3 linked regions of the Saccharomyces cerevisiae S288C genome follow. The gene in region 2 interacts genetically with the main gene of each other region. Each region holds a gene or a part of one and is shown on either strand. Other genes may lie near its edges. The genes, in order: BOL2, MTC5 and DSF2.

Region 1 (3,023 bases), on a different chromosome or scaffold from region 2:
GCAACGACGACAATGCCAAACCAAGGAGAAGAAAGATCAAATGCAAAAAGACCCGCACACCATCGAACCTACAATCACAAGGAGAACAGGCTGTTGATGATAGTACTGCTATTGAAACAGTTACGTCCACACCGGTCCAAACACCGATACCCGAGCTTGAAGAACAATCTCCCCCATATTTGAAAACAACAGTATCGATAAGGGATAAATACGTTATACCAGAAAAAATATCGCTAAATTTGGACTCCAAGAAAGATACATCTAAAAAGAAACCGTTTTACTTCATAGGTTTGAACTCGCAAGAACCTTCAAATAACTGGAAATGGGGCATGGAGGATAGCCCCCCACCATATCATTAAATTAAGTTACATATCTAAGTACATAACTACACAAATACATACTCTCCGATGTAAATAACGTAAGAAAGCAAAATCGTCTATGCCAAAAAGATTCAATGCCGTCTCCTTTCGAAACTTAATAATAGAACAATATCATCCTTTTCATACCACAATCTTAGACCATTCCTCCTCAGTGTAGCACTTGCAGCTAAAGGCATGAATCTCCTGCAGCTCTTCTTTCACAGCCTTGTTCACTGCACGACTCCTCATTAGTTTGCTTTTACCTTGAAAGAAGTCGCTGACCACCACAATATCAAACGACTGACCACAACCGTACGAAAGATCCGTCACAATGATATGGTAAACTTGCGGTATGGCTGATTCTATCCTCTCGCGGAGTCCCTGTTCAGTAACGGGCATCTTATAGTGTCGTTGGCGCTTTGTTTCTCTCCACTGAGTTGTTAGGAAATGTGATTTTGCAAATTCGTCATTTATTTTCACCTTTTCAATTCTTTCACCTGTCATATATATGTATATATATAACACCGAAAAACTTATTCCAATACACAGTCGGAAGGAAACAGAACAAGAGTCCACCGAAACGCAATGAGCAGAGCTATTACTAGAGCACAATTGGACAAACTTGTGCGTAGCATTACCAAGTTCTACCCTCAAAAGTACGCAGACAAGAGCTGGGACAATACGGGTCTTCTCATCGATTGTTCCACTGCACAAGTCACCACTGCCGATGCAAACGCTAAAACAAAGGTCCTTTTGACTGTAGACCTCACGAAGTCAGTTGCTCAAGAAGCTGTGGATGCTAACTGCAACGTAATTGTTGCTTACCATCCTTTTATTTTCCCAAGCTGGAACAGATTAAGCCCACATACAAACCCACAACACGAGACAGCTATAAAGCTAATCCAGTACGGAATATCCGTATACTGCCCTCACACTGCCGTAGATGCCGCTCGTGGCGGTGTAAATGACTGGTTGGTTAGGGGTTTGAACAACGGAGAGAACGTCGCAAAGTCTTATGCCTTGGAAACTGTAAGTGGCGAAACTGACGACTTGATTGGCTACGGTAGATTCGTAGAATTCAATAAAGACATCTCTTTGGAGCAAATTGTCAAAAATGTCAAGCGTGTTTTACGGGTTCCCTATGTACAAGTAGCATCTCTTGCTGCTCCATCCGCATGGAATCAACTCAAAATCAAAAAAGTCGCTGTCTGTGCCGGGAGCGGTTCTGGCGTGTTTAAGCAACTAAAAGAGGACGTAGACCTTTACTATACGGGAGAAATGTCACATCATGAAGTACTGAAGTGGAAAGAAATGGGCAAGACCGTTATTGTTTGCAACCACTCAAATACTGAGCGTGGATTCCTTCAAGACGTTATGAAGGGCTTGTTGCAAGATGAGGGCCACGAAGTAGTCGTAAGCAAAATGGATTGCGATCCTTTGACTGTTGCATAGCTGCTAGTAATTATATGGCTATATAGGATATCACAAATACCATACGTACTACAGTTTTATCATCCGGCTGTTCGTGTAAAATGATGTTGTTGTATCGGATAGAGAAATACGGATAGAAAAGGTAAAAGTCTTCAAATAACAAGGACAATAACATACTCTGTATTGAAGACGAAGTACTCAGCAAAGCGTAACGTAATTACACTTAGCACACAAATATACTCACACAAATATTACAAGGCATGTCGACGGATACCATGTATTTCAACAGCTCCAGGCTGTTGCCATCGGCTGGCAGGAACAAGACAAATAATCTAATCAAACAAAAAACTAGAAATAATCGTGCGAGGGGAAATGCTGCTAAGAACGCCAATAATAACAACTATATCACAGATATACCACCTCCTCAAACTCTTCCTAACGGTCAGAAACCTAACTTCGGCCATTCTTCCAACAAGAAACCATCATTTAATCAAAAGAAGCACTCTCCACCTTCTTCCCCTTCCTCTACAACTACTTTAGGTAAAAAAAACAGACAGAATAATAAAGAAACGCCACGACAGAACAACAAAGATGATACTCGTTTACTGAGTCAGAACCTAAAGAATCTGCTTCTGAACCAGAAACAATCCCCGCATGGCTCTCAAGGGATAATACCAATGGGTTGTAATGGCAGTGCCAAAAAACTCAGTCACTCTTATGCAGGCTCCACTTTCGCCACTAATGGTCCAAGGGAGGCTAAAAACTTGCCCAAACCAAGTTTTTTATAATCACCCTTTAGAGAGACATTTTTGATTTTTTTTTTTTTTTTTTTTTTTTTTTTTTTAGAATAATGCATATTTTTATTTGATATATACCTATGTACCAATTATACGAATGCTTATGTCTGTTTTGGATCTGGTCATCCAAAGCAATTTCTCAGATGACAATTTTTTTTTCCTATTTTCTGTTACAGTTCATCATTATGCTGAAGAAAAATGAAACATGGCGGTGAATAATAAATAACACATTCGTACAACAAATCTTGTGGTAGAAAACCTAAAAAAAACCAATACGATAGAAAATGGATGAAGTCTTACCATTGTTTCGCGATTCTCATATTCCACAGATTAAAGATTATCAATTGGAGTTACAGAACGATTTGACTAAAACCAATGAGGCCTTCCAAAAGAATTTGCTAAAGAACTATAACAAGATCTTAAGCTTGACCGATTC
Region 2 (3,760 bases):
CAGTGACGATAATTCTTCAAAATCTATGTGATCTGCAATATCAAAATTTAATAAGGGTTCTTGCCCTTCTTCGATGTCCTCCAGGCTAACCTTCTCACCTAAAACAAATCGTATACATGGCTCCAGGCAGTAAAGATTTGAGTCAGTATACTTTTGACCAATTGTTGCTAAATTGGAAAGTATTTCTTGTCTCTTACTCATGGTTAAATTTGAATTCTCTTCAATTGTGAATTTGGGGGGGTCCCCTTTGTTTGGATAGTTGAGAGGGAAATTAATACTTATTCGTAAGAATATATAATCATCAGGATTTTCCTCTGACCAGGGGCCATTAAGCGTCAGGCACAATTCCCTTGTGGACACGGATATCTTTTCAAAAACGACTTTTGGGAACTTGTGACCAATGGCGCTTACTTCCTCTCCTAAATTTTGGATTTTTGTCTCATTGAATAAATCCTCTTGTGAAGTTGCGCTATTCATTCTAATTCCTGAGAGCCATGTTATGTGGTTTGTCTTGTTTTTCTTCAATCCAGAAGTTGTCACAAAGTTTTCTCGTAAACGCCTAAACTCATTCTTTTGAACATTTTCCCTATTTTCAGGTTCCTTATTGTATGAGCAATAATCATAATCTGGTAGTTTCTCCTCAAGTCTCTTGCCTCTGTCAAAGTTAACTTTCCCATAAATACTATCAGAAATTGGCCATAGTTTTAAATCGCAGTCTTTGGACCAAGTAACCAATTGAAATTCACGATCGTCGTAATCCCCATCGCACGTATGTCTTGATCTCCAAAGAAAGTCAATTACTCGGTCACTATGCCCTTTAAATGCATATATTGGCTGGAGTTTCGTCTTCTTATTTTGTTCACTGTCATCATCGTCGCATAGATTAATCAGATAAACTGCGTTATTGCCTCCAACCATTGGCATAATACAATAACCTTCTCCAAAAGGAAGGTAACGTCCTCTCCAGATTGGAAAATTTGTTGTTACAGTTCTCTTTGATTCTGTCGTACTTTTTGAATAATCCCAAAACTTCACCGTCCCATCGTTCGAACTCGACATAATTTCAGAATATTTGAACCGGTTAAAATCTATGCTATTTACGGAGCTTACATGGCCTTTCAAAGAACAGAGGGGAGTGGAGCCTTTTCTCAAATCCCACACAAATATATCATTTCCATGTGAAGATGCCAAGACGTTAGGATCCTTGTAATTCCACTTCACTTGAGAAGCAGCAGATCTCCATGAACTTGTCGAATAAAATGGTCTATGTGGACTTCTCATATCCCAAGCATGTACATACGTATCGACTGAACAGGTAGCTAAAACATCCGGATGTTGCGGATTGAAGTTTATATCTGTAATTGCTCTTGAGTGCCCATGAAGTACAAACTCAATGGCATTTGATGAAGATTTTGCTAAGTTCCATATGATTGCCTTTTGATTCGATGTCGAGACTATCCAATATGGTTTTGCGGGATGTGGCGACCATTGTACATCAGCAACTTGCCAGGGCGTAATATGATGCAACCACCTTGGAGGTGTAAACGGATCATCCAGGTCGATAATATAAAGACCTTGCCGACTGGCCAAAACAATATCCCTACCAGAGGGATTGATAGATACGGCATTGAACCCACCATCTACTTTCAACGATAATGATTTTCCAAAAGTGGGCGAATTATACGGACCTTCATTTATACTACTGCACATAATTAATTCTTCAGTGAATAAACGGGCCAGAGGCGATTTCCCTCAAATATCTTACAATGTTTTTGAAAGTGGGGTGCTCAGCTGATTTGCATCTTTTGATGACCTACTCTGAGATGTTCTTCGACTACATCCCACAGAATGTAAGGGTAACTTGTAATTATCTAACTGTTGCAACTTAGTAAAAATATACAGAAATTCAACGTATGTAAGCAGTCACACTGACTATTTGGCAACTCATACTTAGTAAAGATATCATAGAAGCATTGTAAAATATAAAAAAGGATAGATATATTATTGTCTACTCTTTCGTAACGGCATCAAAAATGGCCTTGAAAGGGCCCTTGAATCCTGTCCACTTTTCAAACTGAGCTACACCTTGGTGTACTAACATTTGTGATCCAGGGACAACGTGCCATTGATATTTGTCTTGTGAAATTGTCATAACGGGAGTAACGCTTGGTTTGTATGCGGCTTCCAATAAGGTTGGTACAAAAGCAGCATGGGCACCTTTCACAAGGAATCTCTCCAGCTTACTTAAAAGTTCGTCATCTAATGGTTTGTCGGCTGGTACACAGCTGACAGCAACGCCAACGTGTTCCTTAATCTCTTCTATAGATTTAGTGGACTCTATTCCAATAATGTTGAATTCAGATGGAAGTGACTCTATTAATGGCTTCAATTTCGAAGTTGTCCTGTTGATTATGAAGATCTTTTTGCAACCTAAACTGTGCAAGGCGTAAAGGGCGGCTCTAGAAGTGCCACCTGCACCGATAACCAAACCAGCGGTATGACCAACATATTCGGGAACGCCATTGTTAATTAAGGCATTACGGATACCTAACCAGTCGGTATTATCACCCTTAAACTTCTTGTTACCCAATGGTATAACTGTGTTTACAGCACCAATAACTTTAGCAGCATCAGTCAATTCATCCATGTACTGCATTATATCTAATTTCAGAGGAATTGTGACTGCAGCACCGCCAAAGTTCTTGTTTCCGTCCAAAAGTTTTTCTTTCACCAATTGTGCGGATTCAGTTTCAAATTTATCGAACTTGTGAGGTAAACCTAAAATTTCATAGCCAGTGTTATGTAAAATTGGCGATCTAGAGTGGCCAATTGGCTTTCCAACAACAAACAGTTCCTTAGGCTCGATACCTCCCATAGATGTATACATCTTGTTAATTTGTGCTACTGTCAATTGGCCAGGGGCAGCGGAGTTAGGCAATAAATCTGATGTCACAGGTGTTAAAACATTATTCAAAACACGAGAAATGCTACCTTTAGAAGTCATATTAACTGCAATTAAAGGCTTATTCTTGTGTGTATCCCTAAAGTGTTCCAGTCTCAAATTATCTTCGAAATTAACAGCCGTACCCACAAATTTTACAACATCCACATCAAGAGTTAACGCTTGATTGAATCTGTTTTCCCATTCAGCGTCGTCCCAGGAGTATAATCCTTGGAAGTCATGATGGGAACCAATGATCTTGGTGTTGCCCCTTTTGTTAATAACCTCATATTGGATATCAGTAGGTAAAGTTAGTTCTAAGTCAAGGAATTCAACACCATTCTTCAAGGCAATATCGTATAGCTCTCTCAAGGTTTTGAACTCTTCATCAGGAAAGTTGCCACCTTGCTTCATGGTTCGCACAGTAAAAATGATAGGAATACTGTCAGTGGCTTTACGCAATATAGATAACTGTTTACTCACGAAATCAGCAGAGTAATTAGCCAAATGGTCTACTCTGACCTCTACAGCCTCACAACCATAACAGATTGGAGTCAAATTCTCAGTTTGTTCAGTTAAGTCATCAAAGGTTAAACACACAAAGGCAGATCTTCCGCTTGGAATTTCTATTTCTCTGACACCTGTAATGGTTGCAATGTACTTACTAAACGATCTTCTTAGAGCTTGGAACTCAGCTTCTGCGGAGCAATGAGGAGCAAAGAAAGAGAAATTTGAGCATTCTTTATACCACCCCTCCCTTCTGTTCCAAACTTCACGAATTTCTTCCACATAGGCAGGTCTTGAAGGATCACTTTGTAA
Region 3 (3,760 bases), on a different chromosome or scaffold from region 2:
AATTGCCTGTCCGATGTGTGAAGATTCATCATTATCATAAGGTTCTGGGTGAAATTTAAGCTTCCCGCACTTGCTTGTTGCGTTCGATCCTTCTTTTTTATGACTGAAGGAATCCATGCATTGCGTCGAATTATTGGGCAACATACCATCTAAAGAAAGTGTTCTTCTTCTAACTTTCGGGTGGTAGGGCTTATTTGATTGTTCTGTTAGTGCACTTAGTTCACCTATTTTTGAATCTTTTTCCGTTGTATGGAAATCCGAGAAAGTTCTCAAATGAGTCCTATTTGGACGTGCTTTACTGTTCTTTTTTTTATCCGTGGATGACTGAGGTGTTGATGCTGTTTTAAAATGGAAAACTGGGTTTGGAGGAAAAATATACCTAGCTAAATGTGGACTGGAATTATTAATGGTACTTGAAGTAGATGGAAGTTGAATATTCTCCCCAGAGAAGTCCAATGAATTGGTGGCAGACCGGATAGGGCTTGATCCTTCAGACTCAAGGTCTTTCTTATTTTTTGCTCTTGTCCTAGGAGATTTAAAAAGTTTTTTTAGCGAATTTAGTGACGTTTTTTTTTTATGAGCTTTATATGGTGGCGTTGGAGGTAATGAAATATCATTTGTCATGGTATTTGTTTTCGTTATCGTCGAGGTAGAGGAATTAGACCGTTTAGGAGATGGTTTGATGGGTGTTGTATCACTCTTAGTTAACTTGAGTTTGGAGAATGAGGATGATTCACTTTCAAAAGAAGACTGAGTTTTCGGCTTTGATAGTTGTCCAACTTCAGAAAAGGAGGTGTTGGTGCTTGTTGAACTTCCGTTCCGATAAAGACAATTACTCTTTTGCGTGGTTGTGAACTCATTGGGGCAACTCTGCTTCTCGGATATTCTGTCAGTTTTTGTAGATGTATTAATATTATTACTAGTAGTTCTGTTATTCTTACTATTAGCATTATTGTCAACGCTAGTATTATTGTCTGATATCAGCGTAGGATAAAGATGGTGCAGTCTAGTATTTTCAATCCTATATTTCTCGAAGTTGAAAGGATTAGGGCTATTTGTGCTTCTATTGCCATTTTCAAGGTTTGGGTACTTATAATCTTTCTCATTTCTATTCATTTGGGGTTTCATGCCACTAAAAGTCTCAGAGTCATAATCTTCTTCGACGATATAAGAGTATCTCGACTTCACGGGCAAATGCCTTTCCACTTTACCGGAAGAGTATTTGCCTCTCAAAGTGGAATCCTTTTCTTTTAAATTGTCTATGATAAGAGAACGATCTCTAGCTTGTATATATGTTGGAGAGGGATTAGTTCTATACCTTAATGAAGGGAATTCCGACGCAGGCATACATAATGTTGGACCACTTGTTTGTGACAGTTGCGAATTTCTCGACGCGTTTTCTTCTTCTAATAAAGCTTCTTGCAGAATCAGTTCATCTTCCAAGCTGAGGTCTAATTTGTCAAGAAGTCTTTCCGTGGTTTGAATAGATTCGAATGAAATGCTACTTTTATTTGAATGAGCATAGCTAAATTGTGAATCCATTGATGACTCGAAGCTATTATTGGGTGGTGGGCTTTGTGAAACCTCTGAAGAGTTAGCTTTTCTTTCTTGATCGTCGCTTCCTATTCGATCAGCCCAAGAAGTGTTTTTTAAATTTTGATTCATTACTTTTCGTGTGACGTAAAAGTCCGTTTGTTTTTCTAGATTTTCTGTTTTTTCTCGAGGCTCCTACAAGTTCCACCTATATTTAGCATTGAGGAACAGAATGTGCTATCGCAAAGAGCAATGGCAACAGAAAAAAAGAGTTGCTAAAGAAGAACTATTTTTGAATGTCCGTGGTAATACAATGGAAGACTACTAGAACACGATGGCAGATAAGGTGATTTGATAATCAAATTCAACGACGGTTGCACCGTTGTTCTTTCTGCCGCTCTTCGTCCGGAGCCTTCTGTGATAATTGTTTTAACGCGCAGAAACACACGCAGGCTGCGTAAAGGAATGGTGGGGCTCGAAGAAGTGACAGTGGGTGTCCACGGAATGTTCTGAGCGCAGGGATCCGGTGTTGCCATCGCACACGATATGAGACGCGTTCATTTTTTCCAGCAGTCACCTAAAAGTTCAAGAAACGCTATGTTGTAATGCAGCTGTATTGTACACTGGCTGGTATTGCCGTTCTGATCTATGACTTACTTGTTAGAGGTAATAGCTGTCTTAGATCGGCTTGCTTCTTCTGACTTCCTTCTTTTTTTTTTTTTTTTCGAAGTGAGGCATGCTGCAGTTTTGTGCAGCTTCTCTTGCATCACTTCCTGTATTATTTACGTTGTTTACATTATCAGGTATTTTGTATTATTTTTTGCGCAACAGCAAGCAAACGCAATAGCGATAAATGCCATAATATAATCAAAATTTAGCAAGGATACATAGCAGCAAACCCGAACCTTTAGGCCTCTCATAGATGAAGAAAATTTGTACAATTCTTTTGGTTCTTTGGCTCTTCAAATATGAATTTATTAAGAGGAAATCCTGAAGCATCAGAACATCGCAAACTTTTTATTCGCAAGAGGATTTATCCTCTGATTAGTTATATATGAATATGTGTTCCTTCTGCATGATTTTGATATCAATAGTATGCATTTTTTTTCGATTCGTCGTAGAAACATAGCTACTCTCATGACCAAATGACTCTTTTTGGCTTTGACAGTGGAACAGCCAAGTTTTTATGTAGAAATATATTATCTGTTAACTGGAAATGATGTCTTAGGCCCATAAAATGTGCTAGAACGTATGGCTAATCCTTTTGCTCTGTATTCAATTGAGTATTTTGCTTAATTTCTATTTGATAATTGAACTTCTTACGTGTATAAATGGTTGCATATTTCTTTAGTAAGTACTATTTTCAAATATGAGTGAAGGATATTGTGGCTCAAGTAATTCCTCTTTCTTTTTTCATCCGTATGGTAAGCAAAGGGTCACAAAGTAACCGATAGTGTGTAGACCTTAGATCTTCCTTCAAAGATTTCAAGTCTGCGATAAATAAACATGAGAATACTTGCAACAACAACTTTTATAAACAATGAAGTTCATTATGAACAGTATTTATTTCACTGCTAAACTTTACGTAAACTTATGTGGAACATCTTTGTCGACAGATGGACGATAAGTAAAATTGTGTTATTATAATTCAAATTTTCATGGTAAGAACATCGGCTTTCTACTCCTCTGTGTACGAAGATCTTGTACGTAATGATGGCCCATACTTATAAAGTATAAACGGGATAATAGCTAGACCTAAAGTTAGGAACCCCACTAAGGACGAACCCCATGCCACAGGATAGTTCTTAGTAGCTAAATTGTCATACATTGCTCTACCAAACAACGGAAAAGCACAGGCAAACGAAGCCCGACAAAAACCATTGCCTGCAAAAACGGATGCAACATACTTTGGGTAGCATGTAGCCAAATATGCAAAAGTTGCTTGGAAAATGTTAAAGACAGCTAAAACAAAAAAAACTTCCGAGATAACTGGCAAAATCCAATGCACTCGAGCAGTCCAACCAAATAAGAACAAAGACAGAGGCAGGCACCAGCAGACACACATTGCCACGATTAAAAAAGCTTCCGGGGTGAATGTGCCGTTTCTAAAACGTGGTACAATAATCCTCATGTTTAAAATACCGAATAAGCCATAAGCAAGTACGCACCCTACGCAAAACCCCATATAGGCCAAGCCAACTTCAACTAAGCTGAAGTGGTATATACC

What was found.
Region 1: mutations in MTC5 (region 2) and BOL2 together harm fitness more than expected from each alone (negative genetic interaction), as found in Saccharomyces cerevisiae (one large-scale study listed by BioGRID).
Region 3: mutations in MTC5 (region 2) and DSF2 together harm fitness more than expected from each alone (negative genetic interaction), as found in Saccharomyces cerevisiae (2 studies listed by BioGRID).

The regions. Positions count from the first base shown.
Region 1 is NC_001139.9:80,214-83,236, reverse strand, and holds BOL2 (Bol2p), read right to left. Parts: upstream 864-3,023; coding exon 501-863; downstream 1-500. Other genes in the region: ERMES complex subunit MDM34, read left to right, coding at 1-359; NIF3 (uncharacterized protein), read left to right, coding at 945-1,811; EDC1 (Edc1p), read left to right, coding at 2,051-2,578; Golgi transport complex subunit COG1, read left to right, coding at 2,872-3,023. UniProt on the Saccharomyces cerevisiae protein: Involved in the regulation of the iron regulon in response to decreased mitochondrial iron-sulfur cluster synthesis. May be involved in mitochondrial organization and biogenesis.
Region 2 is NC_001136.10:707,499-711,258, reverse strand, and holds the start of MTC5 (Mtc5p), read right to left. Parts: upstream 1,711-3,760; coding exon 1-1,710. Other genes in the region: ARO1 (pentafunctional protein ARO1p), read right to left, coding at 2,009-3,760. UniProt on the Saccharomyces cerevisiae protein: Component of the SEA complex which coats the vacuolar membrane and is involved in intracellular trafficking, autophagy, response to nitrogen starvation, and amino acid biogenesis. May be involved in telomere capping.
Region 3 is NC_001134.8:249,352-253,111, forward strand, and holds the start of DSF2 (Dsf2p), read right to left. Parts: upstream 1,666-3,760; coding exon 1-1,665. Other genes in the region: FLR1 (Flr1p), read right to left, coding at 3,212-3,760.